Linked DNA regions of Styela clava. The protein of the gene in region 2 binds, or shares a complex with, the protein of the main gene of each other region. Links are inferred from orthologs where the notes say so. Each region holds a gene or a part of one and is shown on either strand. Other genes may lie near its edges. The genes, in order: cleavage and polyadenylation specificity factor subunit 4-like, cleavage and polyadenylation specificity factor subunit 2-like and cleavage and polyadenylation specificity factor subunit 3-like.

What was found.
Region 1: cleavage and polyadenylation specificity factor subunit 2-like (region 2) and cleavage and polyadenylation specificity factor subunit 4-like share a complex: the UniProt entries of both Drosophila melanogaster proteins name them as parts of the cleavage and polyadenylation specificity factor (CPSF) complex. The link is inferred for Styela clava from reciprocal best matches to the Drosophila melanogaster genes Cpsf100 and Clp.
Region 3: cleavage and polyadenylation specificity factor subunit 2-like (region 2) and cleavage and polyadenylation specificity factor subunit 3-like share a complex: the UniProt entries of both Drosophila melanogaster proteins name them as parts of the cleavage and polyadenylation specificity factor (CPSF) complex. The link is inferred for Styela clava from reciprocal best matches to the Drosophila melanogaster genes Cpsf100 and Cpsf73.

Annotation. Positions count from the first base shown.
Region 1 is NC_135257.1:6,092,238-6,103,652, reverse strand, and holds cleavage and polyadenylation specificity factor subunit 4-like, read right to left. Parts: upstream 5,143-11,415; 5' UTR 4,965-5,142; intron 4,792-4,964; exon of another isoform or gene 4,682-4,791; 5' UTR 4,586-4,681; intron 3,987-4,585; exon of another isoform or gene 3,665-3,986; 5' UTR 3,554-3,664; intron 3,004-3,553; 5' UTR 2,004-3,003; coding exon 1,077-2,003; 3' UTR 299-1,076; downstream 1-298. Other genes in the region: uncharacterized protein LOC120346153, read left to right, coding at 8,735-8,824, 9,120-9,172, 9,303-9,443, 9,778-9,871, 10,158-10,205. UniProt on the Drosophila melanogaster protein: Component of the cleavage and polyadenylation specificity factor (CPSF) complex that plays a key role in pre-mRNA 3'-end formation, recognizing the AAUAAA signal sequence and interacting with poly(A) polymerase and other factors to bring about cleavage and poly(A) addition.
Region 2 is NC_135251.1:30,700,179-30,711,462, forward strand, and holds the start of cleavage and polyadenylation specificity factor subunit 2-like, read left to right. Parts: upstream 1-7,038; 5' UTR 7,039-7,090; coding exon 7,091-7,162; intron 7,163-7,616; coding exon 7,617-7,693; intron 7,694-8,733; coding exon 8,734-8,893; intron 8,894-9,376; coding exon 9,377-9,482; intron 9,483-10,183; coding exon 10,184-10,327; intron 10,328-10,543; coding exon 10,544-10,696; intron 10,697-10,885; coding exon 10,886-10,974; intron 10,975-11,284. Other genes in the region: cytochrome b-c1 complex subunit Rieske, mitochondrial-like, read left to right, coding at 5,726-6,529. UniProt on the Drosophila melanogaster protein: Component of the cleavage and polyadenylation specificity factor (CPSF) complex that plays a key role in pre-mRNA 3'-end formation, recognizing the AAUAAA signal sequence and interacting with poly(A) polymerase and other factors to bring about cleavage and poly(A) addition.
Region 3 is NC_135251.1:10,435,246-10,446,288, reverse strand, and holds the start of cleavage and polyadenylation specificity factor subunit 3-like, read right to left. Parts: upstream 4,871-11,043; 5' UTR 4,785-4,870; coding exon 4,729-4,784; intron 4,543-4,728; coding exon 4,479-4,542; intron 2,966-4,478; coding exon 2,868-2,965; intron 2,276-2,867; coding exon 2,147-2,275; intron 1,634-2,146; coding exon 1,506-1,633; intron 863-1,505; coding exon 723-862; intron 376-722; coding exon 225-375; intron 1-224. Other genes in the region: octanoyl-[acyl-carrier-protein]:protein N-octanoyltransferase LIPT2, mitochondrial-like, read left to right, coding at 5,259-5,318, 5,715-5,817, 5,938-6,021, 6,768-6,894, 7,480-7,550, 7,988-8,304. UniProt on the Drosophila melanogaster protein: Component of the cleavage and polyadenylation specificity factor (CPSF) complex that plays a key role in pre-mRNA 3'-end formation, recognizing the AAUAAA signal sequence and interacting with poly(A) polymerase and other factors to bring about cleavage and poly(A) addition.

The DNA.
Region 1 (11,415 bases), on a different chromosome or scaffold from region 2:
TGAGAATAAAATTAGCGCTGGCGTGAGTTCATCCGTCAATGACACACAAAACTGTTTAATTGTTCATGGCCTCAGCTATTCAGGTTGTACCATGCCAAAACACGAATTTGGGGTCATTTCTATTGTTTAAAATAGCGGGCAGAGCCATTGCCAACGCTTTTAAACATTTATTCGAGGACATGTCAATGTTTCTGGTTTGTTATGTGTATCCGTCGATTCTAGTAAAATTACATTAGCATGTAAGGAAAAAAATAGGAAATCTGAACTACCTGTACTCTTGACTAATTTTTCTAACGACCAAGTCCAGTTGACAATTACTCTTTACTCGCATTTTTGTATATTGTATTTAAAGATTGTTCAAACAAGATAGAGAAATACATATTCGTTTAATACAACAGAAATTCATAGATGTAAACAATCATTACCAGGGATTTGTTAGAGAGGAGTTTGAACTTGAATAAGCCCCACACTTTTCCAGATTTTCCTAACATTTGGTGAAGTCACGAGCATTTACCGAAAGAAATGATACTTGAAAGCTACGAAGCCACTGAAAAGAGGTTATTAAACATTGAACAACTTATGAATGATAGAAAGCGATGTTCGCAGTAGAGAAAATCATTTTTCAAGAACAATTTATGGAAGTAATCAATAAGTTAATTTTGTGCCAATGGACCGTCCGATCACTATAAAATAAGTATAAGCACAGCAATACTGAAGGCAGTTCAAATTATATACGGAGATGTTAGGATAACTCCGGCAATTGCACAGTGCAAGATAAGTTTTGTGGATTAACTCAATTCAGTGATGTGTATTTATTACCAATGTTTTCCATATGACAACCAAGCCAAACAAGCATGAAATTGTGTTCCTTATGAAATAGACTGGTTTAATGTAAGCTGTGTGTGCTACCCAAAGAAATCTTGCTTTTTCATGGGAATACATACACCAAGGCATGTGAATGTTGTTTTGAATATAGTCTCATGGCGCTGAAATTATATCTGCTTCACTCTTTCAAGCAATCATTTGGACTTGAAACCACAGCACAAGTTCAAAGAATTCTACAATCAAAAACTCCTTCAAGTTGCTGGTTTAGACAAGAATGGCATTGGAAATGAAGCAATTTCATTACAACGATTAGCGTAATGTCCTTTCTTCCCGCACTTGAAACAAGTGACTCTTGATAAATCCCTCATGGGTCTCATACGAGGAACAGACGTTGGTGACAAGCCAGTTAGAGATGTGTTCGGCATCGCACCTAGTATTCCTGCACCAAGATTCGATGATGGCATGGGTATGGATGGAGTCATGTTTGGTCGAGTTATGTGAAGCACAAGCCCACCAAACTGTGGTGTGGTGGCATGGATTCCATTAGGCATGCTTTTGTTAGTATCAGCTTCAGAGGTTCGATATGGATTTTGTGGACAAGTTGCCACTTTATGCCCAAATTCTCCACATATGTGACATTTTGCACCTTTCGGTTCCACAGTGGGAAGATCCCATGTTGGATGGGTATATTTACATTTTTTCCCATCAGGGCAGAATCCAATAAGATAGTTTATACACATAACCCTTCTTTTATGCCTCTTGCTGCAGTGAGGGCCATGTTTACAAAAGCCCCTATCATACCAAGGGCAATCCTTTATTTTACTAGCAGGGTCAATATGCTGATATTGACAATCCTTGTTGTCACATCGGCCAAATTTTGAGTAGAAATAGCACTCAGGCATTTTGCTCATATCATACTCATGTAAAAACTCACATTGATCTCCCTTTTTGCATAACCCACGAAGCCAATGTTTGCAAACAACTGCTTTGTCACCCAAAACATGACGAAATGGGCAGTTTACACCTCTCGCACAGACATTTTGCTTGAAAAAATGACACACAGATGCCCCAGACTTATCCATTCCAGGAAAAGGCAGGGGCTGAACTCCCAGTTGTTGTTCCATTGCAACTTCCATATCAAATACAACATTATTAACATCAGCAACTATTGCCTGCATAATATTACTGATCAAGAGCTTTCAGAGTAACAGTTTATGTAAAAATAAAACATGTTATCAATATGACCATCTAAACTAGCCTGCACATACATCAAATACAAATTATCCAAGGGTCTGTAAATATTTTACAAACATACACAATATATATTTGAAAATTTTGATAATGGTTGATTTTAGCAAAGCTATAGACCTGGTTTAAATAAACAAAAATAATTCAAATTCTTTGCTATTAGGATGCACCCAAAAATAATACAATTATTAAGCAAAATAGGAATATGAAACCTCCTGGTCAGCCTTACCAGCAAGTCTCGAAGAAATCAATACAGTCACATCAGTGAAATGACAAGGTATATTAATTTCCAAGCGTTATTGGTCAGTTAATTTTAAATTATGCCCAACACAGAAACAACAATTTTCACTCCAAAGATGTCCAACTAATATGTAAGCTACTATGTTCATATAGAATCTTTTTCTTTCAGCATTGCTTACCCACTTTCTTACACAGTTGGTGAGGTGGTGGGTATGGAAAATGGGCCAGAGATTAACTAGCAATGCCAACAGACTCAAGTCGAGCACTATTAGTCCATAGTGACCAAAAATATACGAATTTCAAATAATCTTTATTGTAATTACTGTTTGCAAAGTTGCCATGGAGTAGAGCAACATTTATTCACTTTAGATTTGTAAATAATCATTATAGTAGACCAATTTTGAATATCAAAATTGATCATTAAAAGGTATTTAGATTTATAGTATATAATACATAACAAACTATATATTTAGTCAAGATTCCACAGTGCATTAAAAGTTTAATATTACATGTCTATTTTGTAAATTTTATCATAATTAAAAATGATATTTAACACAAAACAATTGAACAAGGTAGAAAATGAAAGAGTCTAAAAGTCTGTCACTCTTCCTCTCCTCTCCCAATCACCATATCTTGTTGGCTCGGGCCCTGCCGGTCCACCAATTTCCCCAGTGTATGGATTTATATTATCTGTGGAAAAATCTCAAATTGAGAAAATGCATAGGATGTTTACAACTAAATAGACATAGTTGACTAAGCTTTGTTTATAGAATAGATTAACTGCAAATGACATGAATTTGGATTCTAGAATGCCATTATGCTACAGTGTTGGGAGCTTTGTAGCGACAGACTAACAGCAAAAACCCAAAATGCTGAAATGAGGTTTAAACATAGGCCTATGGCACAGGCAATCTCACCTTGTGAGTTGAGATATAGCAGTCTATAGGACTGAAAAGCAAGACGAGATACAGCGGTACAAAATTAAGGTATAAACTTGTAAGCATCCTGATACCATGATAGGCTAGTACATTACAGTGATTACACCTAAGTAATTTAATGTTTTAGGTCATGCATCGTTCAGTCATTGTTAAAAACAAACTATCAAGCGACATGGCTAGGATACGGAACAAGACTGCAAGATGGCTGGATGGTGTTTCAATAAACACTGAAACAAGAAGGTTAAATGAGGAATGCATAGGCATAATAAAAACAGTAAAACTATTCTGTTAGTCTTGCCTACCCTTGGGGATTTGAGAATTATTTAGATTTTCTTGGGTCTTTTCGTGTTTCACACCTTTCTGTACGTCGTCCAGACGTCCTTTTGGTGTGTTGGGATGGTTTTCTTGACTTTCTGAAGAAAACAAACATTTTCCAAAATTTTTATAACAACGCGATATTTTGCTACCAATTCCCGTTGTCCGTGGCATTAAACTCATGTTGATATTCTTTACCTACTGGACCGATCTGTCACCGCGTAACCATGAACTTTATAAACTCGAATGGGGGAAAAGTGCAATCTATCTGCAAGAATACCGTAGCTATTACACCACCGCAGTGACCTAAAAACACGCGCTGCGAATGTACGTGCACGGAGTCAATATAAAATACTCGGGTGAAAATGCTACCCCATTTACGTTTACCAGTACCATTCGTGCCGTTGTCAAATTTTATTAATTAATGGCGTAATTGCTTTGACAGTAACAAAACCAGCCAAGTCCGTATTTCAATAAGTAAAGAGATAGTTCAAGAAGGTTTCTCTCTCGGAGCCCTGGGAATCTCTATGGAGCACTTTGTAAACCTAATAACTAAACTGCATTTTTGGGTAGGATGATGTATTCGTATTATAAGGTTTCTCTCTTGGAGCCCTGGGGATCTCTATGGAGCACTTTGAGAACCTATGAACTAAACTACATTTTTGGGTAAGATGATGTATCCGTATTATTTTATTTATCTAATTGTTAAAGGGTCGTCGCAAATGTTGTTCGTATATTTTAATGAGTATGAATTTCGGGTGATACAAAAATGTGTGTATCGTGTTATATCAGGGTACAAAATCTTTGATTACAAGCGCACATAACGCTACGTTTGATTGCTAGTGTAAGACTTGGGTATCTGCTTAGTTAGGGCAATGAATTTTTGACAACAAACTATACACTAGGTTCACCACCCTGAATGTTGGCTGGTTAGACAAAATAGTTGGTAAAATCTCCAACACATAGGTGAATTTTAATCAGTGTTGTTTTTTGAGTTTTAAAAATCAATATATACGAACCTCTGTTGTCCAAAGATTTTTGTATGTAGTCAGTGTGATTCTGGTTCGAAGGCGTACGGGAACAGCCGTAATATAAATTATCCCAGTGGAAAGACTCTAGATAGAAATCAGTTCGCCATGTTGAACGAGCCCGCTGCATGTTTGAAAGCGAATTCTAAACTAAATTTAAATTGCTGCCAATTTGAACAGTTATTCAGATGGAGCAACTGATAAAACAATGACAAGATTTAAACTCTTTGGTATAGCTTGGTATATATATATATATACTTGTATATCTTCCAATATATTATTTGTCTAACGTTTACTTAAGAGTTTAGTTTAGACGATCTGCTAATTTCTAAGACATACTTTATTTATAAATTCTCCTTTGTCTTTTTACCATTCTCCAAACTGCTGGTCAACACTATTACAGCGTTTTGGACACTCCAATTGATGCGTCGACCATCCACGTAATAAGCAAAAAACAATAACGTTACTTACACTACACGTTATTAACTGAAGCTGCTTATTTCAAATAAATATCATCTTAGCAAGTATGCAACATTGCAACACTAAATATATTCATATCATGTTTCCTTCCGATCCTGCCTTGATTGAAAATACTAAAATAGGATGAACCTCGCTACTTTTTTAATAATGATACTAGGAGATTAAGTGGCGATTCTTCATCAAATAAGAAAATATCGATTGTTTTATTGATTTAGCTTGATAGGAAAATGAATAGAGTATTGATGAAACATTTTATATTCACTTAAATATTTATTGAATTTCCCATGTCAGATATATCGATTTAGTTGACATCGAGTAATAATCGTTGGCAAAATAATTTTCAATGCTGTATCTTGTCAATGAATTTTGTATATATATATACATCAGAAATAAAATATGAGGAAATATTTTTCCCAAACGACTTCATTTCCGAGCCATGATATTATTACAAAAAAGAAAACATAGAAATGACAAAACAAAGAAAATTTGGTGCTCCAGAAGTATGCGCACCAAGATGTCGCACAACCTGACTTCTAACCGGTACACACACACTATGTTCAATTGTGCGCCATCTTGAAGCGCATACTTCTGGAGGCGTGAAAATTTTATTTATAAAGCTATATATATATATATATATATATATATAACAAATATCTCAAGGTATATTAATCCATCGTGATCAGGCATTTTGGTAACCTCTATTGTATATATATATATATATATATATATATATAGTAGCTTTGGCAATTTTTGAGATTTCTTTATGGCTTGAAGTACGACGCAGGTTATGTTTACTTTCAACGATGCCGATTTGACTTGAATTGAAAAAAATACAATTTCGTATTATTTTACTTATACAAGTTATACAACCAAAAAAATCAACTTCCTTTCAATATAGCCTCAGGCCGAAAATTTACTAACACTGGTCCGAGTCAAGTACAATTTATTTTAATACAATAATTTGACGCCTCCTGTTAATAATTAACGAAATATTCGGTACATTTTAGTTTTCATACGATTGGCACAAAACTGTGATGATGGGTTGGGATTGTCCAAATAAAATGAGACATATATTTATAATCATCAGCTTGATTTCTGAACAATTATATTCTTATATTTTAATTCTGCTGATTTTACTATTTGGTTATATCTAAGGATTTGTTCCAAAAGAATTGTTTTAAAACAATTGTTTTAAATCGAGTTTTTTTTGCCTGCTTTGTTTAAAATGGCTGTACTATTTTATTTTTTCGTATTAAATAGGTTGAAGAAAAATGAATGTAAAAACTTGCCAAGCGCCTCTTATTTGCAAAAAATTCTTCAAAACGCCACAAATAACGATAGAGGATCATGCACACCTTCTCATGTTGTAACTCAGTGGTTGGCGCAGTAAGACGCAACCGATAACGTAACACCGTTACGTAGTCGTAAACGACCCTGCGACAAAACCACCTTGCGAAAATTGAAATGCGATCGAATAAATGAGTTTGTATAATCTTGAAAAACTCTATCACTTCAACCTTAAAAACAAAGCTTGCTAAGCATAAATTAACCGGACAGTGTTAAATATAATAATGCCTTCATTTTATGAGAAAAAATGTCAATACATGAACTCGAAATCCACATCATAACAGATTACTTGAGTCGCCTTGCATCAGAGGACTCTTACGATTAACATAGGCCAGACTAGCGTGTCTCATCCGCCGTCGATGTAATCATATTATTCATTATCGCAACCCACTCGTTTTGCCGAAGGCTGCGATTCCTCTAATTGATTTTGTAGTAGGCTTGTGAGCTAATTTTCATGATTTTTCTTACTCAAAACGTCTCTTTGATATCTCGGATAAACATTCCGGTTAAAATCTTATGACTTTTTTGGAGATACGAAAGTCGCGATAAATGTACGCAATAGAAGTAAAAGTCAAAATAGGAATTTTTACTTACATTTTTAAAATTATAATTCCGGCCGCGTGTACAGCTGCCCGAACGCAACGTTTTGGCGTAGTTTCGGGGCGATGCAAGGGGTATTTCAATAAAAAATACAGAAAAAATTTGATTTAAAACAAGCCCTTGTTTTAAAACACGATGTTTCTTTTTAGAATTGATAAAAAACAAAACCCTATATCACATGTTTTTTTGCAAACATTCTTTCCTTGTTGTATGGTTCGAGGTATTTTTAATAGTCAAATCTAATTATAATCATTCAGTTAATTAACATTCAACATCGAATACATCTATATTATTTAAAGAAAATTCAAGAATTGAAAAAATGACAAATGGAGTTTAGCCAATGATGCCTCGGGCAGGAAATTTTCTGATATTTCTGTCTATTGTCGGAGCCATCGCGAAATGTCGCACAAACCTGTCGTGACGAAAAAGGACGAAATTTTTGTATTGCGAACATGTTTTTAAAATTAACGGTATTTATTATTGATCCCTCTATAGTGTGATTGGGTTAACTTTATCATCATCTATCAAACCTAGGTAGTTTCCACGAGCTTAATCTTGTTTATTTTATAATAATAATAATAAATATTATTATATATTCAATATTATATTAAGTATAGTCATTTTTTATCCATATTGTTTCTGAGCGGGCAAATTCAAACTGTATTTATTTATTTTCATATCTAATGACATCTATATTTTTTTTTGATATGCTTTGATTCCATGGAATTTTTATACATTCATACGAATCGTTTCAACTATGGCTTATTTTCTAAAAATATTGGCCACATTTGTACTTGAGCTATGTTCCAATCGCCATGTCTTTTTAAAATAAAAATCGAAATCTCGACATTGAAGGATTGATTATCTTCTTTTATGATTTTGCAGATGAGGTTGAATATTCTACTGGCTGTTAACTTTGATCCTCCTTAGTAATCATGATAAGGCTACGTAATACTTTTTTGCAGAATTTCAATTTTCAAAAGAGCTCAAAAATTAAAGTAATATCAATTTTAAAACTTTTGGAAAATTTTTTTGCTAAAAGTTGTTGATTATAGAACATAAATGTTTTTATTTAATACTGTATATTTATATTTTACTTTTTTGTATAAACAGCTGAGTTGTCGAAACTTATTTACGATCCCAGTTCACCAATGAGAGAAAACGGTATAAATAAACGATAAATCAAAAATAATAGATATCTGTATGATGTTTTTGGAATAACAAGTATATATTTCAAGTAATTTTCAAACGTTGTACGTTGATCTTTACGTAATTCGAGTTAAATTATGATGGGGAACTTTTCCAAGATTAGGATCAGGAACTCTTCCAAAACATGGCACGTATTATTTTTTTCGTTTAATTCTTAGTATCATAGAAAGCCATTTTTGCATCTGCTACAGGACCACAGTTGGAGGTTCATATCCATGGTAAATTTATCATGCTTGGTTATGTTTAAAAATGATTTGTACGGACTCAATTTAATGTGGTAATTTGTAAAATGGTTATCTTTTAAATTACAGTAATGAAAATATGTTTAGAAATTTCGACCAATAGACGATGGTATCACAGTTTCGAGAGTAAAACTCTCCTATTCAAAAACCTATAAATACCACGAGACTTGTTCAGTTGTCAAGTCTCTTCTACACTGACACAAGTTGACGTTCTACATCTACAACTACGGCCTATGATCGACGTCATTGATTGGCAGCAAAAATGGAAACATCATACGCACTCTGCCTTATCATTGCGGCTTTAATCTGCAAAACGTTCGCACAAATCCCCGATGTTGCCCAACAGCACTTGGTAAGCTTACATTTTATCATCTAAACAAATTATTAATTTATTTAAAATCAGAGAAAATTAAACCTATTGTGACAAGTACTTACTTATTTGCTGGATCGTTGTCAAATGTTTGTTTGAGTTTCTTTACCACAACCTCGAGGAATCCCACACAAATTATCAAATTAATAATATGAAGTAATATTAATTATATGAAAAACATGAATTTGAGCATCGATCTATCTGTCTGTCTCTATCTAAAACTTCAAAAAGTCGTTGTGTTCTTTTCATGCTTTTACCGTTTTAACCTTCATTTCAGCCATGTCCATCGCCAGATCCATATCCACCAATATGCGATTATGATCAATACTCGTGAGTACATTTTAGCATATATGTGTAATAAACTACAGAATCAAGAATTGGTTTTGATGACAGCACTTTCATAGCTTGATTTTATTCTCGATATATTTTTATATTAGTGAATATTTATTATATTTTTCAGGCTATTTGACAGAGAGGTTCGCTGTGACATGTTGCATGTTAGTCTCTCTCCTCCATCCTCCTGTACATATGAAAAATGTTACGTTCCTATCCCGATACCCGATCAGCCATGCCCCTACATTGTCTATGGGTACAATTGCAGGTCAGTATGAATGCATATCAACTATATGGCTATATAGTTGACAAAATATACCTTTGCTTATTTTTCATACTGATACACAAAATATTGTGACTACATAAATTCCCACAAAGTTGTGGCGACATCAACGCAATCGCATGAAAAAACCTTATTATGAGAATGAACTATGCATAATTATATTAAATTAAAATAAGCCGCCCACGTTGAAACATACTTATAATTATACATATTTCATTAATGTTATAACAGTTGTGAAAATCCAGCTGAATATAAAGCTAATATGAATCAACATTATAGAGTAGATCTAAATCTTAACCTCTTATATTTTAAATCAAAGATCCGGAAATTACCCTAACGGATGCACCAACACAAACACTTGCCAAAGTACATACAAATGTGTACAAGTTCCGTATTCCCTGTTTGTCTACACGGTAAGTAGTTTTATTTACTTTTTATGATGTTCTTTCGCGTCTAGTATCTTGGCAACATCTCAAGTCATTTATCTTTAACGCCTGTATTAAAGCAAAAATTATCATTTTGTAATATAGTTACGAACTCGATATACACCGTTAAATTCTAATAAAACAGAAAAGTCGACAAGAAGTCATCCCAAAATGATGTGCAGCGTGTTAATCCAAAACCAATTTAAATATTTATCCAAGTTCGATTCAATTTAGATCTACAGCCTAAGAATTTTTTCTCATTTCTCACTTTCAGATTCCATATTGTGAATGCGGACCCGAACTCGGAATACCGCTTGGGTGAATGAAGTGCTTTCACCAAATCTTCGTTATGATATATAATATATATATATATCGTATATTTCAGAATACATTTTGAAGCACTTAATGTATGTAATCACAAGATTTCACGATTAATATATATCTTTTGAAATGCATATTTTTGCTTTCTTTCATAGCACGAGATGGAGAATTAGATAAAATTAATACAGCTTGACTTGAACAACTTGAATATTTTCTGACCAAACGGCAACCACTTTAAATAAGTGGAACATTTATTAGGGTTTATTAGGTAACATTTCTGTTACTTGTTATCCACAATAACATTGTTACGTTAGCTTTAGAAATGACATAAATAAAACAATACAGCATTTTAACTGAATTACACCGATTTTAAATATTCATTCGAGGTTTGAAAGCAATGCATGTACCTACCACCTTTTAGTTTCGACATTCTTTTCAATAATCAGGAAATTGCTGATGTTATATATACTTGTGCTTCACAATATGCTTTTCATTTCATCAGTCAGTTCAAATGCTTGAAAATTTGAATAACCATCGGATCCGAATACATGGAAGATCGATATTACTGATTGTAATATATAGATATTGCTCTGACTTACAGTTTGGAATTCATTTGTTTTGAACTAACTTGATGAATGACATTCGCATAAATCGACTATAGGTGTATTCATTGCTTGTCATAAAAGTTAGGACATTGGTGATGGCTCATCTAGAATTGTAGACTAAGAATTATACCTGCTTCCATATTAAGGAGGGAAAAAATTCGAAATTATCGAGCTTTCTCCTTGATGGAGTGGGGGATAAACGATTCGTTGACAACTGAGAAGCTGCTCTACCCTCATAATTATTAAGTGACATATCTAGACTACGCTGTCGGTATTGCTGTCGTCATTATGGCACCTCCATATACAGTTCGTATGTGGTTCAGTGGAACTATGATCAATAGATAAAAAGAAACTTTCTTAGAACCTTCATCGTATGAAATGATCACTCAAAGTTGTCAAGCTGGTGAATATACAGTCATGTATGTACTTAGATTTAGAATATATGCCATAGGCGATCAAATTCTTTTACAAAATAGCTTGAAAGGCTTGCAAAACAAGAATATAATATAATAAATTTTGGTAGTTTTTAAAACATTTCAAACTTCAAGAACGGGTTTTATGTGTGGAAATATAACTGGTTCATTGTCACATAAAGCATACTTTCAA
Region 2 (11,284 bases):
AGTAGATGATGAAACATTAGACAAATTGATAACCTGTTCAGTTCGATTTTGTTGATGTTGAGACTTTGGAGGAAGCTTATCTATATTTACAATATCTTTTAGTGCAGTGATTTTGCTTTGTTTTTGCATTCTTTGTCTGTTCTCTTGGTATTGGATTCTCAGTGGACAGTCAATTTTAAAATGCTCAAACGAACCACACTGATTACACGTTTTTCTTTGACCATAATATTTAACTGTAAGCATGTACCCATCAACATATAAATAGCTTGGTATTGGATTTTCATTGTGAACATTCATGGTTCCTTGTCCTATTCCATCTTTATCTTTTGATTCAGAAACCTCTGAATCAAATTGAACATGTTTAAGCAAAGCAGTTTTTATCATACTTGTAGTTAGGTGACCTGGCACCCATGATATGTCAACCCTAACCTTTTCAGGCTCATATAAATACCACTTGCATTCAGGTATAGGGTGAGATTCCAAAAACGTTGATAACTTCAGTACCGCTGCTCTTGAAATACACGTTACATCGATAGAGTTATATGGTCTGACTGCAATGGTTTTAACATGATTCTTAGTTAAGCATTGTAAAATAATGTTTTTCGCTGCATTTCTGAAGCCGTCTTCGAATGGTTTTTCTCTTGAAAATTGCATATGCAGACAATGTGGTCGTCGAATTTCCCTTGTTTTAATTTTGTCTCTGAGTGGCGGAATAACGCCAGATTGACTTTTCAAAACGTCGGAGTAAGAAGCCGCCATGTCTCACGCTGCTTGCTGCCTCGGTCCCATATATCTTAACCTCGCTCTATGCGTATGCTATAGAAAATGTAGGTGCTTATTGCGACATCACTGTTTGGTTTTAGCTTATTTTACTTAATATCACGACGTGACCAAACTCAAAAGTCCAGTGAAAGAAGCTCCAAAGTTTCATGAAAAATATATGTATTGACCTGGGGTCGCACTGGACACTTGAAAGTTGTCTTTGGGGTAGCCCTAAAAAAAGCTTGGGGACCCCTGCACTAGAATAAATTTAAAAAAGCCAAACGGAAATTTTGACGCCAGGCGTGTTTGAAAAAAAGCGTTAAAAAAGCCAACATGGCAACTAGGGTTGAACTTGGATTATCCAGATAACCGGTTAACCGTGAGTTATTTTCTTATCAGATATCCGGATATTATTGTGACGGTTAACCGGATAATAGAGCAGTATATATAATGCATATGCGCATTAGTGTTTTTTATATTTTTTTGTTGAGTGGCGACTGATATCTCATATATAAGCATATATTAACAACTTTTATTCATCTCCCTATATGTACATTGCTACTTTTGTTAGTTACATTGTTACATAATTTTGTTTGCTACGTTGCTGTATGTTGTTTATTTTGTAGTAGTGCAGTTACTGGTACAGTTGCATGTGCATTCATCTTATCTCGGACCAGAAGCCTATTGATTTTGGGCGAATTATGTCGTATAATTAGCGAGTTATTAAATAATTAGTGATGGGACACAAGGTGTCACTGTGGAGTAAGAGCGCTGTTTTGGGGGATCCCCTAACTTTCGATCGATAAGTCTTCGGTCTATGACCGATATTCTCGTATTCGAATTTTGGTTGATCTTTTAAAGTGTTCAAAACTTGAGACAGCTGCGCTTGATTTTTTTTTGTTACGTCGCGTAGTTCAAAATAAATATGTAAAATATACTTATATAATGAATACTCGCGACGATTTGTGAAGCAGATCATGACACTCGCTGATAATACCGCCTACGTTGTTTTCAGCTGATAATAATTTTTCTATTGCGCAAAATATTCAATTTGTGGCCGATTCGAGCATTTTAAAATGTCTTTCAATAATAACTGTGTTCTGAAATTTAGGTGCTCCAGAAGTATGTGTACTAAATGGCGCACAACCTGAACATTGTATGTGTATCAGGCTAGGGTTCATATTTTCTTCTCCTCAGGCACTCAGGTCTTTCAACCAGCATTTTAATGATATATAACTACCGTGTTTCCCCGAAAAAAAAACCTAGCTTGAATTTCAAAATAATATAAGCCAGTCCTTAAAATAATACCTTGTCCTAGTCGATAGAGCGAATTTACTTTTTTGACCTAGTCGATAGCAAGGAATCTCTACTACACGTTTTAAATCAAGGTGGTCCAAACCAGACACATTCCTTGCAGCCCACAGAACAGTGTCAGCGTGCAATAAACCATTGGTAGATATTTGCATTTATTGGCAGAACATTTTCTAATAATTTTTAATTTCGGAATTTCAAAGTTGTATCTATAGACGTCAAGACGGTGCCAATATGAGAATGACGTCCTGTGATAGGTAGAAGGAAAATGAATTGTGTTGTGCAGACAGAACCAAGCCGATGAGATGAGTCGCGCTTTTTATCGAAACTTCGTGCCTTACGCTCGCGTCAAGTAACTCCTCATTCGGAGACCCGTTTTGTTTCTTTTTTTAGTTTAAAACACTCCATTATTTTCAAGCGTTGGCCATGTGGCAGCAATGTATTTACTTACTCACAACAACATTAAACCACAGTGTCTGGTGTGTTTTCAAATAATATCTGTCACGAAAGACTGTTATTTTAAGCAACATTACAAAACCAAACACGGGAAAAGCAATTTTAAAATACCTAAAGGCTTTATACAGTAGATATCATAGCAAGAAATTTTACCTACTCGTTTTAAAGGATTGAAAATCTATGTTTTAGTGGGTATTTTAATTAAATAAAAACGTGTTATTTATAAGTAAATGAATATCGGTTTTCATATTTTGTATATTTGGAAATCTAAAAATTCTCTAATTGAAAATAAAAGACATCCCCCCAAAATAAGCCCTAGAGTTATTTTTTGAGAGAAAATTGAAATAAGACATTGTATTATTTTCAGGGAAACACGGTATGTTTAGTAGTTCTTTCAAATAAAAACGGGTTACAGTATTTATAGGTAAATGGATACCGGTTTTCATATTTTGTATATTGTCCATATATGTAAATCTCGTAATTCTCTACTTTGTAATTTTGTTTTTGATAAATGAAAATAAAAGATATCCCCCAAAAATAGGCCCTAGTGCTATTAAAGACACTGCCTATTTTAATTATCTATTGAAACTTGGGGGGAGCCGGATTTCATGCCAGGACAGCAGGGTGCTTGTCCCATTGTTTGTATAATAGTAAACATTAGTCCAGGCCTATTTTACGTTGCCCAAAAAACAACTACCACAGTAGTTCGAGACAGGACGACTTCCAACAACTGGCTTTTAGCGGCCATGGCGAGTTACTCATCACGTTACCTGAAAGAAACTGAAGCCGTCTTTCGAAACAGTCAACGAAATACAATCTATCTGTATCTCATCAGTGCAGTGGTTCCCAGCCTTTTTTCGTATCGCGGCACACTATTGAGCTCTTTAAATATTCGCGGCACACCTATCACAAAACATGAACATTTTCTACTCATAAAGCCTTTCTGCTATAAACTAATTTAAAGAAAAGAAGATCAGATAAGGGGAATTTTATTCATATGAAGACAACATACCCCGCATTTAGTAACAGGTATATAATATTAATAGTGAATTTCAGCCATACTGAGCTTGATTCTACAAATCACCTGAAAAGGCAGGGTTCAGACGGATGGCGGATACCTGGTTAGGCGATAATTTCATCTGTATTTAAACACATGTCGTTTCCGTCCTAAAAAAATATCATCATCAGGTATTCACACTTTTGCACAACCTAATTTTTTTCAAATTTAATATCTTCCTCCCGTTGCCAAAATTTGTCGGATAGAATATTTTTATCGAATCAAATAATTTTAACGAATCGTCAAATATCGGGAATTATTAATTTGTATACCACAGGCATCCAGAACGCTAGACATTCTATTGTTGGTGAATTCGGGATTTTATTCCGATTTTCATATTTTGCGCCGGCTTTGATCTTTCTCGCCACCGTTTGTAAATTAAGTGTCCAAATTTTAGGGTGAAATTATAATATTTCTGACACCGGAATCAGGATATTCATGGATACGATAGTTGACCTCCTTATGATTTTCTTTCTCCATTGTGCCTGTTTTATTTTCGTATTAAATAGCCAATGAAGAGTGCGTCTGTAAGTTAATGTGCCAATTTTCAACAGTATACAGTATTATATGGATGTTTCCCCAAGCATCGACTTCCTTGTTTACTTCGTGACATCGGCCAATCAACGAGATGCAAAAAGTGACGTAACAATGCATCCGCTGGGTCATTTTTCTCACTCATGGATTTTTTTTTTCAGTGCATAAAACTCGTGAGAACGGACGTGAGTTTGCTTTTGTCCGGAACGTTCGTGAAAGTGGTACCGGGATAGGCAAGTTCACGAAATATGATATAGGGCATATGCCCAGTTATACCAGCAGTTTTCTTTCGTTGTCGTGTATTAATTGAGTAATAATGAATTGATTACTCTGGTGATACAGGTTTCATTGTTCCATGAGCAATAATAATTTTGTTCGGTTTTATATCATATTATTACGACAATTGTATAATATGACTATATATATATCGATATCATTAGATCCCCCCCCCCCTGATTATGTTTTACCAACTTTCATGACCTTTACCTTCATGACCTTTCATGAACCGATACAACTGCACAGGGGTACCGAGTCCAGGGCTGCCACTCTAGATGTTTTATATCTAGATCAACGGCTAACATGATCTAGATCTAGATGTTTTTTTCAAGATCTAGATGTAAAATTTGGAGCCTAGATGTTAGCTATAAAATCTAGATTTTTTTTCGAAGTTTTGAATATTATTCAATGAGAAATAAATAAAGAGATGTGTATAATACTGTAGCCCAAGCCTCATTTAATTGGGCTTGTGTTTTTGTGTGCGTGCTGGTGGGCAGGCACATGAGATACTTCATGTTTTAAACGTTTTTGTAGGTTTTGCTTGCCCTCCAGAATTCTCCATTTTAAATTTAGGTTTGTTATGGAGTTTTCGAAATAAACTATCTATCTATCTAATAGGTGAATGAATATTACCGTATTTCATTATTTAGAGGTACCGGTATTGATGTAAGATTGATAAAAGTCATTCATATTGTATTCGTCCCCCGGTATGGTACCATACAGCCATATGTACTTAAAATATTTGAATAACGAATTAAACATGATTAAAACATGTGACGTTTTAATTAACGTTAAATAGAAAAGAGACGTTTTCCGGATGATATTGTTGCCAAGGGGTTTTAAAATTATTAAGTTTATAAGTGCTATTGAATGTGTCTCTCTTTAAACATCAATCTTTCAAAATGCCAAAGTTTATACACTACCAGCAAAAATTTAGAAAATTTTGACTTAAGGCTGTACAGCTGTACGGTAAGGGATGGTTTGCCCCAGATGATAAGAACAAGGTCTTTTGTAAGTTCTGCAGATGGGAATTGAATTCTAGATTATGATGTTAGCTTCTTCGACATCTAATATTACTGTTTTATGGTTACTTTTCATTAAATTAAATGACTTCATAAATAGATGTTTTATTTTTTAATCTGGATGTTTCTAGATCAATCTACAGATCTAGGTGTTTTTAGTCAGGCAAAAGTGGCTGATCCTGAATACTAGAATACCGTTACTTATAGAATAAAACAATGTTAGAATGTGAATTTCCCCAATTCAATATTACATATTTCTTTGAAAATTTAGTTTTGTGTATATATTTATTTATTCTAAGATATAAAAATGCTTCCCCTGTTGATAAAAGGCAACTTTATGCCTGGAATATCTCACACAATTCAAATTATTACCAAGCAAATGCGACCTTTACCAGCTGCAGTAGCATTGAAAGCTCAACTACCTGATGTTGCCCAGAAAGCAGTTACTAAACTACCTTCTGCTGTACCAATGGCAACTGTTTCTATTTTCGGGGCTCCTTCAGTAAGATATGCGCACACTGATGCTGCAGTTCCTGATTTCAGTGCCTATCGACAGAAACTTAAAGATGATGTAAGCGATTTTAGAAAGACAGAAGATGAACGGAAGCTCAGAACCAAGACATATCATTATGCCATTTCAGCTGGAGTGTGCATGGGAGGAGTTTATTTGGCCAAATCTGCGGTAACTATGTTCCTTAAAACAATGAGTGCTTCAGCAGATGTTCTTGCTCTTGCATCAATAGAAATCCCATTGTCCGAAGTTCCTGAAGGAAAAAGCATTACTTTCAAGTGGCGAGGAAAACCTCTTTTTGTTCGCCATCGGTCTCCTGATGAAATTGAGAGAGAAAAAGGAGTTAATGTTGCAGAGTTGAGAGATCCACAGCACGATGCTGAGCGTACTCAGAAGGAAAACTTTTTAGTTGTTATAGGAGTTTGTACCCATTTAGGATGTGTCCCAATTGCCAATGCTGGTGACTTTGGTGGTTACTATTGTCCATGCCATGGTTCTCATTATGATGCGTCTGGTAGAATTCGAAAAGGGCCAGCACCATTGAATCTTGAAGTTCCAGAATATTCCTTCATTTCCGATGATATTATAAAAGTTGGTTAATGACTTATGCCTGACCATTTTTATACATCACATGTTATTGCGAAGTCATTTAGTATAAAAATATAGGGAAATATTGTCAAAATAAACCAGGATTTTGAATTTTGTTATATTTTTGGACTGTTGTAAGTTGTAACTTTATGTTTCCAAGTATTAGAAACACCTCTAATTTAAATAAAGCTGTTTCATGGAATATTGGTTGTTGATTCTTTTCATATTTCAAATTAGTTTCAATTTTGAATATTTATAATTTCTATATTCACTCCTGAATAATATTGTTTTAAAACAACATTTAATCGGAAATTACTGTCTGGAATAATGAGATTAATATTGGAGCAATCTGTTGACTAAATATGAGGTTAAATTATTTTGCATATGATGTATGTATGGATTATATATGTTCCACTCAATGATGTTATTAACAAATGTCTTGTTTAAAATTGGACTTGAATATTAGAAACTCTTGACTTTTCATTAGTGCTTAATTAATATATTGTTTGTTTTTTGAACGTAGATGAATTAAACTTTTTCAACCGGCATGGTATTTATGAAATCTGTTAAAATATGACATCTATAATCAAGTTCACAGCACTTTCTGGTGCTCAAAATGAAGAACCAAACTGCTATCTTCTGCAGGTGATTTGTTGTTATTGTCTTTTCATTTGTTCTCTGTGTCTTTTAGGAGCAGTTTTTTTATAATTAGATTGAAAGTTCATGTTCAACGATGTGACCACTGAAACGTAATTAGATTATTTTGCCTTCACAGAGAATGCGTCTAGAACGGGCTTCTCAAACGGTGGGATAATTTTTTGGGGCTTGAAGCTAGGTGAAGGATATTTACATTCTATCCACATAATTTCAACGTGTTTTTTGAATAAAACATACTTTTGCCTACGATCTGTTATTTGTAGCCTATTATTATTAGCTAGTTATTTTTGAGATGGGACATGAGACTCCACACATTTAACTTAAAAAGTTTAGGAACCACTGGATTCTAGAAGAAGCAATGACTTTTTCTCTCGAAAGCAGTCTTGTAAAAATACAAATCTGTAATAAATGTTTCTGAAGCATGTTATCTCCATATCAACAGGTTGATGAATTTACGTTTTTGCTGGACTGTGGTTGGGACGAGTGGTTTTCTGATGGCATTATAAAAAAGATAAAAAGGTAGCTTTGCATTTTTCCTCCAAATTGTATGGAAGTTTTACAGCACTGTGCGCTATCATGGGAAATAGTTATTCAAATGAATCTACTCTATTCGCTTAATGCATTGCATTAGCATTTTTGTTGACCCTTTGAGGAGGTTTGTCATGCTGACTACTTTTACCCTGCGAATATACCATTTGTCTTATTCGAACAGCTATTAAAAAGTACCCTTCAATAAAAGCAATGTTTCCCAATACTAGGAAGCCTGTAGTTCTCAAACTTCATGACCCTTCAGGCCTTCACCAATAACTCTCACTCTCAGCACTTTATAAGAATACATAGGTTTGCTTTTACTGTGTTTTTTCATCACAAATATTTTTCACTATGTTCAATGATGAAAACAACAACCAGGATAATAAGTGCATTGTAGTCAAAGAATTAACAAAATCACAGTCATTTACTTCAAATTAATGTAGTCATGACAAATGATACTTAGTAAAGGCCTTTGCTCATTGCCCCCACATGACCTCTCTGTGGCCCTCTTGGGTGACCGAGGGCCCAATTTAAGAATCTGGGCCAAGCACAAGATGAGATTTCAATGATTGAAGCACAGAAAGCTTGTTGATTTTTCATTGTTTTGAAAATAGCAAGGATGAGAAACATTCATTTTAGTGGAAGAAAACGAGTGTTGTCTTTTGTGGAATAGCCACATATACGACTATTGTGCGACTGTTTTGGGAGCTAGCAGGGCTAGCAACTGATAACAAGTACATCCATATCTAGGGTTCAGCTAGATCCAATGCTAACTTTATTACCATGATCATCTCTTCTCCAGACAGAATTTATTAGAAAGGTTTCGATTTGAATCTCATATTAGCCCTTTTTCTATTGGCACCACTGCTGTGTGAATCGATTTATGAAAGTTTGGGGCATATGGTGGTAATGGGATTAACACAATATCTTTAACCGCTGATGGCACAATAATTCATTGGCAACACATTGTCACCCTTTTTTTGGGATGCTGAGGTATTCAATATTAATAATCATTTCATTATTTGTAGGTATTTGAGCCAAATTGATGCTATCTTACTTTCATTTCCTGATCCTCAACATCTCGGCTGTTTGCCTTATCTTGTTGGAAAAGTTGGATTGACTTGTCCGATATATGCAACTGTTCCCATCTATAAAATGGGGCAAATGTTCATGTATGACTTATATCAGGTATTCTGCAACAGAGGATTTGCATTTTTCTGCCTCATTCCTTCATCATTGCTTTGTAAGAGTTGTAAATTTAATTTAATGGCTGAAGTCAGTCGGGGAACAAATATAGCTAAAGTTATATTTATCCTGTTCAGGTAATCGGTGCACAACTGCACATCGTTTAAGAATTCATAGATTATCCCACAAAAATGCCATTTTCATGGGAGTCAACAATGCCATTGTTAGCATTATTCCTGATGCTCTGCATCACTATACTAGGTACAACATTATTGAGTTTTCTTCAGAACCAAATGGAGAGAAATAAGGCCATTGTTTGGTATATATTTCACTTATGTTATTTGTGATAGCCTCATTGATAGGGTGAAATAATTTATCACTCCTCAATTTTATCATGCAAGTTTGCAACTGGAGAATCAGATTTGATAATGATTGGGATTTGCTGGATATTTGTTATTATTGTAAATTTAACAATGGTTTTTCCAGTCTCATCACAACACCGAAGAATTTGATAAATTTACACTGGATGATGTTGATATGGCATTTGATAGAATCACTCAACTCAAACATAACCAAACTTTAACTTTGAAAGGTGAGGTGTAAATAAATTTTGCAGTAAAAAGGCCTTGATATTCTTTTCATACCACAACATTCCCAGATATATTTGTCTTTATCGGTGATAAACAATGGTTCATGACCCCACAATGTACATGTACCGTATATCGAATTGCCTGAGTAAATGAGAATGTTCTTTTTTTCCTCCACACAATGATTTGGTCTCTGTCTGAATGGTTGTTAGTCCATAGATGTAAAACAGTAGAAACTTTTTGAAACTAAAAACGTGACCGACTACTACTGGTAATTGTTTTTGTTTACTTGGTTGCTTGTTGTATGTAGGACTTTCTGTCACTGTCATTTGAATAAATGATGTAATCACATTAGGTAATTTTGAAATGATACATTTTTTGATTATTTTCTTAAAATACATAGACTACAGTCTACAATACAAAAAGTATGCTTCCATAAACAAGTGGCAAAACTAGAATTGAGACGTGAACACCAAATTCGTAAATCAGTGCAATTACGTAACATATGTGTTTATTAATCACCGTTTTAAAATTGATTATTGATATAGTGTCCACATAATGGTAGAATTTTCAAATGAACAAAATTTCGAGTAGTGAGGGCCTTCAGTGACAGTTGGAGACACCTCAAATATAATTATGGAGAACATGAAAAAAACCAAAACTTGAAACTGTTCATGCAGAACTTTTATTTCTATGTACGGTTTAGATAAAGGTCACGGCTTATCAATAACCCCCATACATGCTGCTCATATTATTGGAGGGACGTCATGGAAGATAGTCAAAGCTGATGAAGAAGGAGAAATCGTTTATGCAGTTGATTTCAATCACAAAAGAGAAAGACATTTGAATGGTAAATTACGACTTAGTCGGTCGCAGCTCGTATGTAATCTTTATAAACTTACACTATGAATGAATTGCATGCCGATTTAAGTATATCAGGTTGTAGACTGTGTTGTTTGTTTTTGAGAAAATAAGAGTATCCAATAAATTTTAAGTAATTTAAGTAATTACGGTAGATCCTTGCTAGTAATTACAATTTTGTTGTAATCTTGTACGCTTCTGTAAGGTTGTACTCTTCTGGAATCAGTTGGAAGTGGTGGCAATGGAGGTAGAGGCGGAATAGCTGGTTCAGTGTGCCCTCCTCAACTTCTTATTACTGATGCCTACAACGCTTCATATCAACAAGCAAGAAGAAAGTTGAGAGATGAGGAACTTTTAAGTATGTACTTCAGTCATTTTCGACAAATTATCGATGTCTTTCAGTGTTATATCGGATTCATGTAAAAATTGGTACATTTCTTTATATGATATTCTCAGATTTTCCTTTCTTTCGCTGATGGTCTTCAAATTGCTCTGGAATGAACAATGACTTGGTTCTGAATGCTTTATGTTCTTGTTTATTTTTCAGCTAAAATTATAGAGACCATGAGATCAGATGGGAATGTGTTGATTGCAGTTGACACTGCAGGACGAGTTCTTGAACTTGCAATATTATTGGTATGATAGACAATTTCAATTACTGCCCAGCATACATATATTAAAACTGAGTATAACCTTTACAGCAGCAGAAAGTTTACCTTGTCCACTAGATGTCACTGTTAATCAAGGTTCTGGATAGTCTATATTTACTTAGATTCCTCAATATGATTCATTGAGGAAAAAATTTATTTGAAGCTTACTTTTTCTTCTGTACAAAGGCAATGTATTACTGTCTTTTGTTTGGAAAAAATGCAACCAATCTGGATAGCTGTATTGACTACCATATGCTGCTTGCAACATGCATGACATTTACATCTTTAAATCCTTA
Region 3 (11,043 bases), about 20 Mb from region 2:
TTATAATTAAATTATATGCTTATTAAATGAGTAATTGTGAATTGTATATTTGTTAGGTTATAATGTAATTTAGTCTAAAGAATATATTCGTCAAAACTAATGTTTTGTTACTATAATTTAGTGAACCGTCGCGGGCCGGATTATAGTGCTCCGCGGGCCGTAGGTTGCCGACCCCTGATCTAGACACTAAGGTGGAGCACAGCATATGCAAGACATCCACTTACCTAAAATAAGCAGTAATTCTTGAGCTCTACCCAAAGCAAACACAGGTATGAGACATCTACCCCCTCTGTTAACAATATCATGGATTGTCCCTGTAAACCGACTTTCTCTTTCCTCTCGTGGTTCGTGTATATGTGTTCCATATGTTGATTCCTGATGTAAGTTTAGTACATCTTCATAAAAGATACTCAAACAGAACTACAGTTTACTAATTTGCAAATAAATAAGTGGCAAGAAATGTGGAAGCATGGCCTTAAAGAGGTGACCATTTGTGTTAAGTCCTCACTATTTTTAAATTTGATTTTATTATCATCGCATTGTTTCAAATATAGGCTACTCGTTTGTCCGAATTTCGAAAACTGGTTTTTAATCAGCCATTGTAATAGTAGTAGTTCTTCGCCTTTGGGCGAAAACCAGAGTAAATCTTTCATTTTTAAGTCCAATCGATAGCAAATTTTGCAGACAATAACGAAATATGTAAAAAATAATTCAGAACTGACCATAATTAAAACGTCTGGTTTTACAGCGGGTATCTCTGCTGCCATCAAGTGTCTATCTTCTTCTCTCGAAAAATCACCGGTATAAAGAACTTTCACGCCAGCTATTTCAATCATAAACATTGCAGCACCAAGAACATGACCTGAGAAATATATGAATTATGTAAGTTAATTTCAGTCTGAAGAAATGGTTAATCTCACTTAGGAGTTAGGTAGTCAATCACTCATGTTTTGAATAAAATTCTACAACATAAATGAGTCATGGAGAAATAAAGTTGAAGATGGCTATGCAGTCATCTGTGATAATTTCATTTTTAAATTGCATTTTCTAATATTACAAAATGATAAAGATCACATTTATGAAAACTGAGCAGTAACCACAATTGAACTGCATGCCATTACTGGTTTTACATCCAATTTCAAGCAGATACCCTTTCATGCATTCGGCAGAGACGTGAAAGTGATGAGAAAGTTTGTCGGGCTATCTTGGATAAAAAACAGAGATGGGTCAAAGTCCCCAACACTTTTTTAGATAGTAATAAATTATTGAACAGAAAAACTTCCGAGACCATCTCAATATGATGAAGTGGTAATTTATCTTGATTACAGACAGCTAAAAGCCTAAAAGTTTTTTTTTTTTCATTCATTTACATAAACCATTATTCTGACAGAACACAAAACATTACTTATCATTATTGTGTCAGTAACATAATATACTAGAAAAAGTATTGGGCGTAAAAAAAACTTGGCTTCCATCTACCATTCCAAGTTCACATCCAATTCTACCTGCATGATAACACCAGAATTTAATTCCTTCAACAACTTTCTCTTCATGAAAATTAATGGTTTCAATTCTTGACATTGATTCTTCCAAATCACTTTCTGTGTAGAGTTGATTCTCTGTCGATATGTTACTGAAGGAAATACATGATCACATTAATCTTATAATGAGTTAGTTTTTAAATATGAGTTGTCCAAAAAAGAACAGGGTGTCCATAAGATCTCTTTACAATATCCATTTTGTTACGAAGTCAGTTCCCAATATATCTTAACCAGGTATGTTTGTTTTTAATCAGAAATTGTTTAGTTATTTTTACTTCATTGAATACATCTGTGAGGGCCGAAACAATATATGGTATCGATAAATTCCGCTTGCAATTTTAAAACATTTCAAAACTTTTGGACAACTTTCAACAAAGTTGAAAGTGAGTTGAATGACGGTTGCCTCCATGCCACAGAGATAGAAATGATCCAGCTTTCTCTCAATTTTTTTAAATTTCCAGTAATTACCAAAACCGAAAGAAACAACAAGAATTGGCAAATGTAGTATTCTCACATTCTTCCGATATAGTTTTACCAGAAAAATAGAATTAAGTTATCCAAAATATTATTGCCTTGAAGTATAAATATAAAAAGATCAAACCTACCTGACTTTGATATAATCAGAAAGCAACCATCTATAGATAGCTTTTGTAGCATGAGTCATGAACACTCGTCCTTTGAAAGGAGTTTTCTGTAGAAACCATGGTAGACCTCCACAATGGTCAAGATGAAAACTGGATAAAACGGAAAAAAAGGTTAAGATTCTGTCAATAATATTAGACTAGAATAGTGGTTTCTAACTGAGGGCCCCAGAGTAGTCATAGGAGGCCACAATACTATTATGACAAATTGATTTCAATCACATTTCGTTTGCATACTTTTCACTTCAAAAGAAAATACCTTGCTCTTCATAGTTTCATTACCTGAATACTTTTGTAATAGGTTGTACATTATTATTAAACACATTTGTCTTTTTACCCTTTGTTTGATAGATCTACATAATGAAACATAATAGTTTTTTGATATGGTGAACAAGGGGGGCCATGAGTGCTAAAGCCTCCCATACGGGGCCATGACCTAGGTAATATTACCCCAGGACACACAAAAAAAAAGAGACAAATTAAAACAATAAAAATATTGAATTTAATTCTTGGTATATCCCATATTGAAACGCCTTATCTCTTTTTCAAATTAAATGAAAGATGAAACCACTTGACTTTATATACTTGAAATTATTGCCGATTTAATAAACCACATACTAAGGTAAGACATTAAATTCTCTCTTAGGACTTAGGTTTAAATTCAACTCAGAATAAAATTACTTACTGTGTAACAAGCAATAAATCAACTTTATCAGGATCAGAGAAATCAAGATACGGAAGGCCTGCTAATCCACTAATCCCTGGATGAATTCCACAGTCCAGCTGCATAAAATGAAAAGTATTAGTAATGAAGATTAGAACAGACACTAGACAAGCTGTTACGGAATGGGCTACTATTATTGGAATGGGCCAAAATCTTTTCGGCCCAGTTCCATTGCATACTCAATTTATTACACTCATGAATAATAGGCGGTGAGCATGAAAATGGAACTAGATTGAATTATATTTTCTGATGTTTCCACACGTTTCTACCAAAAAATTGAACTAGATTGAACCAGATTGAACTAGACTACAGGGGTGGTGACTCCTCTATGATCCATGGGCCGGAGCCACGGCCCATCTAATTGGGCCACATGAGCTGTGGCCCATCAAGCTATGGGCCGTGGCCCCATCAGGAAAAATTCAATTATCTTACCAAAATTTTCAATTTTTTACAAAATTGTAAATATTCAAAACAAAAAAAAATCGTGGGATGCCACCAAATTTTTTTCTTACGATAAGCCTTTATATAAAAATAAAGCATAATACCAAACTACAGAAAAGGATACTCCTGTAGTATGTGTACCAGGCTAGGGTTAGGACAAAATTTTGTTCAGATTTTTCACATTATAGTTCTATTATGAGTTCGGAGACTGTCTGTGTTAGCCAAGTGAATAGTCCCTTTACATAACTCGATGGGTCGCGGCCCATAGCCTGATGAATTGGGAATAGCATTGAATTGGGCCTCGGCCCCGACCCATGGGCCGTAGAGGAGTCACCACTCCCACTCGAACTAGATTCTACTAAAGAATTGAACTAGATTGAATTCTATTTTCTGATGTTTCCACAAGTTTCTACCAAAACAGCTAAGGCTCCAAGCATGCAGACATTGATACACAAAGATGTCACTATTCTTGGAATCCCAGGAGTCCCTCCCAATCATCCTCCATTATGGGATTCTATACCTTAGAAAAGGTGGAGGAGAATGGGTATGGAAACCAAACAACATTGTTGATCTAAAGTTCTGCTCACTAAACCATCATGCAATACAGCACACTTTGAAGATGGAGCGACATTGTCTCGTTTCAGAGAATCCCATTTTGCGACGAACAGACACCCCTCCCTTTGGGGACGTTTGGACATTGTTGTCCCTCAATGTCGGTAAAAATGCAGTAAAAAGAAGTTGCGTGATAAACTAAAGAGAAGCGCAATCTAATAAACGTAATCATTGAATTCATCGGGAAAAAATAATCCGATTTTTACCATGGCATTCGAGAGTTTTTAGCAAAAAACGGCAACTTTGGTAACTTGATGGCCCTCGATTAATTTAGATTATTATCGAGACAAGCATGGCGCGATATGACGCATCTGCCGTCGTGCCAGACAACCCTCATTTGTGAGACATATGGAGTGTTCGTTTTATTGAACCAAATGACGAAACATTCTTGGAATTTGGGAACTAGGCCCTACTATCATGTCCATCGTATTATAAATTGTTGGCTGAAAAAAAAAAATGGAACGAAAACTTTAAATAGTGCTCAACAACCAAAAAATAAAATCCTTAATAAAAGTCTACCATAATCTTTTTTCCTTTATATTCCATCAAATGACATGATCTCCCAACTTCTTGACCAGACCCACTGAAATTATAAAAAAAAAACGCTAAATCTGTAAATTGAATCATGTTGAACAAAAAATTATCATTTACAATACAGCATATTGCTGAAGTGTAACATCTGAAGATTGCAAAACCAGTACAAAAATCTCAAATTGGTTCCATAGATGCATTGTCAGACATAGAAGAAATGGAGTCGTATATTACTCACAGCGGAGTGATTTTTAATAAATCAGTTTCTTCGGTCTTCTGTCCACTATTCGCCATTTTATCCGTTTATTTCCCTTCGAACGAGGAGACGAATAAGACACGGTTCCGAGAGAATCAGTTACCGTACCAGTACCGGTTCTTTGGGAAATGTGGAGCATGAACTGAGTAGTGACCGGAGATTTCAATTGAATGAAAGTTTTTCACAGAATTGAGAATTTATTTTGACGGGAAAAACGCGAGATATATAATTAATTTGTTCAATTGCAAATACAAATCAGTTTTATGCAATATCGATTCAAATCAAATTCATGCTTACGTACGATATTCATGATTGCCTTTGCGAAAAAATGAAACTTCTTTCTTTCAACTCCAACTTCCACATAAATATACGCATCAATGCATTCATACACCAACAAAATCACGTGACTTTTGGAGGTAACTGAGCTGCATTTGTCGCACACAGTTTCATGTATTCGTTAATTCAATCTTTTGAAACAAACCGGCGAGCTCGAAAAACGTAAATTATAGAAAATGGAAAAGATTCGACCACTCGCGCGTGCTTTTTATCTTGGAACTGTGAGATATAAAAAGGTTAGCATGCCTTTATTATAATCTTACTTACGGCAGTACGGTATCTTTGACATTCAAACATTCTATAGACATTTTAATTTTGTAGGTATCTCCAACGAAAATATTCAAACACAAATAAAAAAAATTAAATATTATACATTCTAGCAGTTTCATAGTTATATGAGACACGGATAATTTGCCCTAACGCAGTCATAGACACCACCCAGCCCTCAGATGTTAAATGTATCTGGTGGCAAAGCTGCAAAATGAGATCATGCATTTCTCCATTTATAATATTTTGATCAACCCCTTTTCATCGATTCATGGAGATTTTACCCTCAATTTTTGAGGAAGTGTGATATTTTGGTATTATGCAATTGAAATCAATGTACTGATGTAATGTCTCATTTATTGCAGGCTTTAAAACTTCAACACAATCTTGTCAATTGGAACAAAGTTCAACCAGAAGTTGCAAGTCCTACTTTACTATTATTACAACACAACCCTGTGTATACGATAGGTAGGTTTTGTTAACTTCAGAAATACTTATGTCTGAGTTCAACTTGAAAAAGAATAATTACACCTAATGTGGAAATGCACATGGATTATTCAACTGTTCAATGCTAACAATATTACACAGGTTACAGAGACAAGCAATACACAGATGAAGAGCAAAAATTACTGGAAAGTCTTGGAGCAGATTTTGTGAAAACTGACAGAGGAGGTAAATTTCAGATAAAAATTAATTGCTTCAGTTAAAAAAGACATTAAGTAGGGAAGGAGTACCAGTGGTCACTTCACCAACTACAATACTATCAAAGTTTTCAAAGATTAAATATTTTGTTACTGAATACACTAAATTATGCTATATTATGCATATTCGAATAGGTACTTCCGAAGTATGTGAATCAAGATGGCGGACACCGGAATGTAGTATGTGTACCCGATTTGGCTATGATTTCAGGTGCAAATACTACGGGAGTCACTTGGCTAGTCCCTGAACTCGTAATAGAACTAAAATAAGGAAAATTGGAATAAAATTATGGCCTAACCCTAACCTGGTAGTCTGGTACACATACTACGTTCCAATGTCTGCCACCCACGAATATAATATATTTAAAATGGCAAGATGATTTTAACTCATTTCTAATGATGCCCTCTGTTAACTATTTTTGATTAACTATCCAGAAATTACAACGGAACATTACCAGGCTCCAAATTTATGGCAGAGTAATATCTCACACAGGTTCTATCATTACTTTATATTTGATATACGGTAGTATATGTCTGTAAAAATTTATCAATTTCAATGCATCACGTCATCACTTTTTCATAGTAAAGTGAATTCAATAATCATTGGAAGATTCCGATATCCAAGGGTATCAAAAGATTATGCTTTACAATATCAAAGAGTTGCAAATGTTTATCCAAGCCCTTCGTACATAAATTGTGATTTACTTTCATTCCTAGGTCTGATAACATTTCATGGGCCAGGTCAGTTAGTTGTTTATCCTGTGTTCAGTCAACTTCAGATAGAAATCGGTGTAAGAAAGTATGTTTGGTTGCTGGAAGAAGTTATCATTAACCTTTGTAAAAAGTAAGGTCATTCATTATATTTCAATATGTTTTGTTATCTGGTTTTGAGTTTCCAAGTGGTAATTTGTGTATAATTGCATATTAGCCACCACACATTGAAATTATTATTTTTGGAACTGAGGTCGGCTAATCATAGCTTGTCATTTCATACACATATTGACTAGAAAGTTTCCAAAAAACCATTTAATCCAACTTTTACCAAAACATCTACCATAAATATTGAGTAACTATTTTTTGGATGATTGTGCAAGAAGATGCAATATTGTGGTATATTATGAATTGATAGTCATTATTTGTTAAGTTCATGGGGCATTTTGCAGAAAATTATCAATGCAAACTTGTTCATGTTTATAATAAGTATTATGGTTTATATGTCACTGTTTGGTACTCCCGGAGTATGTGTACCAGGTTATGGTTAGGCCATAATTTTATTGAACTTGAAGTAAAGTAGGTGAACAAAATTATCCATAACCGTACACATGCTTTTGGAGCGCCCAATGCTTTATAAAGCATAAAGTGGGTGCGCAAGTTCTCTATTTGAATTGAATTTTCCTCTTTCAATAGCAAATCTGAAATGTATTTCCAGGTACAATATAGAAGGAATTCGATCTCCTCACACAGGAGTTTGGGTTGGGAACGATAAAATATGTGCAATGGGTGAGTTCAAGGGTGAGATTTGATAAGTTGATGGGCAGTTTAATTTTAAGACTTTTATTTATCAAAGTTTATTTTATTTTTGTTGTCGAAAAAAATCTAAATTGGGGGAGGGGGGGGGGGGGCTATTCTTAGAAATGTGGAATCGTATAAATATCTTGGTATCCATATTAATAAAATGAATTGCGATATTCAAATATCAAGCATTATTGTTAAATTATCCAAGGGGGTAGGTAGGATAAGGTAACTTAGATAAGTTTTTTTCGACTCCGTCGACTCATCTTAGATAAGGTTTAATGCGTACAGAATATAAGATGGAAGGTATTGCCAAAAAGAAGTTGTATGTGTTCACTCACTTTGCTCGCAGATGTGTTTTATTTATTTCACTGTGAGCTTGCTTGAGATAAGTTATACTTATTAAATTACTTTATTTTCATCAGGTATTAATGCTCAGAAAAAAACATATTCACATGGACTGGCATTAAATTGCAACACAGATATGTTATGGTTTTCACGGATAGTTCCTTGTGGCATCTTAGACAAAGGCGTGACATCTCTAAGCTTGCAAACCGGTAGAGACGTCACAGTTGAAGAAGTCATGCCACTATTTCTTAAAGAAATGTCATCAGTATTCGAATGGGACATTCTACCTCTACAACACTGTGAATTGGACAATAATAATATTGATGACGAGACTTTATTTCAACTAGTAACGAATAAGAAAAAGAATGAAACATATATGGGTGTGAAATCGTGATACAAGCTCTGATATTGAAATTACTCTTTGTTTTTTTTGGTTCCTATATTATTATTACTTTGTTAATATTATGCATTTTGAATAAAAAATTTCAAACATCAAATCGCATACCTTCTTTTGTTCAAGTCGCATACTATTATAAAAAATAAGCCAAATGGGTGATTTCCCTACACCCGCTATTGGGGGTGGACACCCCTCTTAATTTTGAGGTGTGATACCACACTATAATTACTAATTTAAGTATAGTTTTATTTAAATATATAGAATATACTGAGCCAAATAAAACAAATTAGGAAGAAGATGGCGCACAACCTGAACATAGTGTTGTGTACCGGTTAGAATTCAGGTTGTGCGACATCTTGGTACGCATACTTCTGGAGCACCACAAATTATCATATAATTAAGGCTTGGCTGTGTCCTCTGTAGCGACACAAGAGCTTAGAAAATATTGGCCGATATCTAGAGATGGGGTATTCTGTGACTACACTCACTGTCAAAATAAATTCGAAGAAATTCATAATTTGATATCACAACCGATGTAATGAAGTTTAAATCTGCAATGTAACATTATTGCATTTTATGACATCATAATTAGGTCAATTATATGATCCTAGGCTACAGTGTAGATTTGTAACCTGATTTGTGATATTACAAATAGCTTTGTAAAAAAATTGAGAAAGTACAATAAATTTCACGACAGTTGTATTAAAAAACGAGCAACGATATGTACGTCCAATATAAGGTTGAGAAAAGTGGGAGATCGCTGGATGACGTCCAGGTAGGGCCTTTTTGTATTCGTACCGAGAAAAGCCTAATAATAAGCCCTGTTGGTGGAGGAATCTAAACTGAACATCGACTACCGTCCGGCTTTCTTCATAGAGTGATTTCCCGATGTCGCGGACTCGCGCAGGGTAATCGGTGGGGCGATGTCAAGCATGATCCAACGCATGGTGAGCAAACCACCGAGCCGCGTATGATAAATGCACGCACTCCCTCTTTGCACTTGTGGATCGGCAATGTAAGTTGCAGTCATTGCTGGATTCAATGTAAGCAAAGCCGCACAATTCATGTTCCTGGCAGAATTGTTGGCTTTAAACTAATTTGTATCGAACGAGAACTTACGCAATACAAAATCTTACTTTTACGTAGTTCAAGTGGATGGATAAGTATCGATAGCATTGCAGGTGGCACGAACCGGGCACAGATCTTAGGCTCATCGTGGCAAGCGTCTGCACCTCTGATTACCCTGTGTTGGCTCGCAGATTGGAATCCCGTAGCCGTGGCGGATAATTATGTGAGAGAGGATTGCTGGACTACTCGCCGTCGTAGTGTGGCTCACGTATACGTTGGTCGGTTACAACTAATGGACCACCAATCGATTACAATTGTCAGTGCTTAAATAGAACTGTAACGTAATCATCAGAAGGCTATTACTTCTATTGTTTCCCATGGGACCTGATATTTCAACTAAATTTTGCTGTTTCATTTTATTACATGAGAATACTGTTATGGAATATGGAACACTTTATTCCGTCAAGCTTGTCCGCCAATTTTCACTACAGACTCCGCTGCTCAGAGACAGCTATTATCTTACAATAGCAGTACGAATCGCCGCATTTCGTTTCCACATATTTGAACATTGCTCGCACGCTTATCGAATCTAACCACGGGCTTTATTTTCCATACTTTCTGTTCCACTGCACTTGTTGATTTGAAGTGTTTTTCGAGAGCATATGAAACAAAATAAATTCACCTGTCTCCACCGTGACACATTGATATTAATTTGCAGTGAGTATTTCAAGAGCTAAATTCATCAAAATTTGTGAACCGATGAATTATCCTATTTTTATGTTGAATCGAGTCAAGTATGCTGTCAAAAAAAAAAAAATTATTAATTATTCAATTCCCAGAATCTATTCTTAACCCGATGACATGCTGTAATACTAATAAACATGCCCGGACACTTCACAGAAATAACGGAATAAATCATCTGCATCGTCATGGGACAGCTGTTTTACAAATAGTATTAAACATACTTCCAGGTTTGTCAAATTAATTATCGTCTACTCTACTCTATCGAATGTGGCAATAATGCTGCCGCGCACTCATACCCCACGTAATGAATGCGATCACGTCTATGGTGGCCCATCGTTGTCACGCGTAAAATTGAAAATAAAAATAAAAAATAAAATAAAAAACCGATAATAAAAAAATTTTTGTGAAAAAACATAAAAATAATTAAAAAAAAAATAAAAAAAAAAAATTAAAATTAAAAAAAAATAAATAAATGAAAACGAAAAAAAAATTAAAAAAAAAAAAAATTAAAAAAAAAAAATTGAATAAAAAGAAAATAAAAAGGTTGACAACGATGGTCCGCCTCGTGGCCCATCGTTGTCACGCGTTTTTATTTTTAGAAAATTTGCTTCTGCTTGGGACCAACGTTGTCAGGCATAATCCTACGCGCACAAATGTGTTCCCTGGGTTTCAAACTCACTACTGATTTTCTTGAGCAATATTCAATATGAAAATGTTCTATAAATTCTCCATGCTACAAGTTCAACAAGAAGTAATATATTTATAATAATGATAAGAGAATATAGAATTGAATACGAAAATTCGGAAAATTTGTTTTTACGTGTATAAGGTAATTTGGAGAATGCTGCTTAACTACTCAGTTGTCTGGACACTCGCGATGCCGGTACCGTACCGTCTTACCAAATACCGGTAGTCGGTTATAGT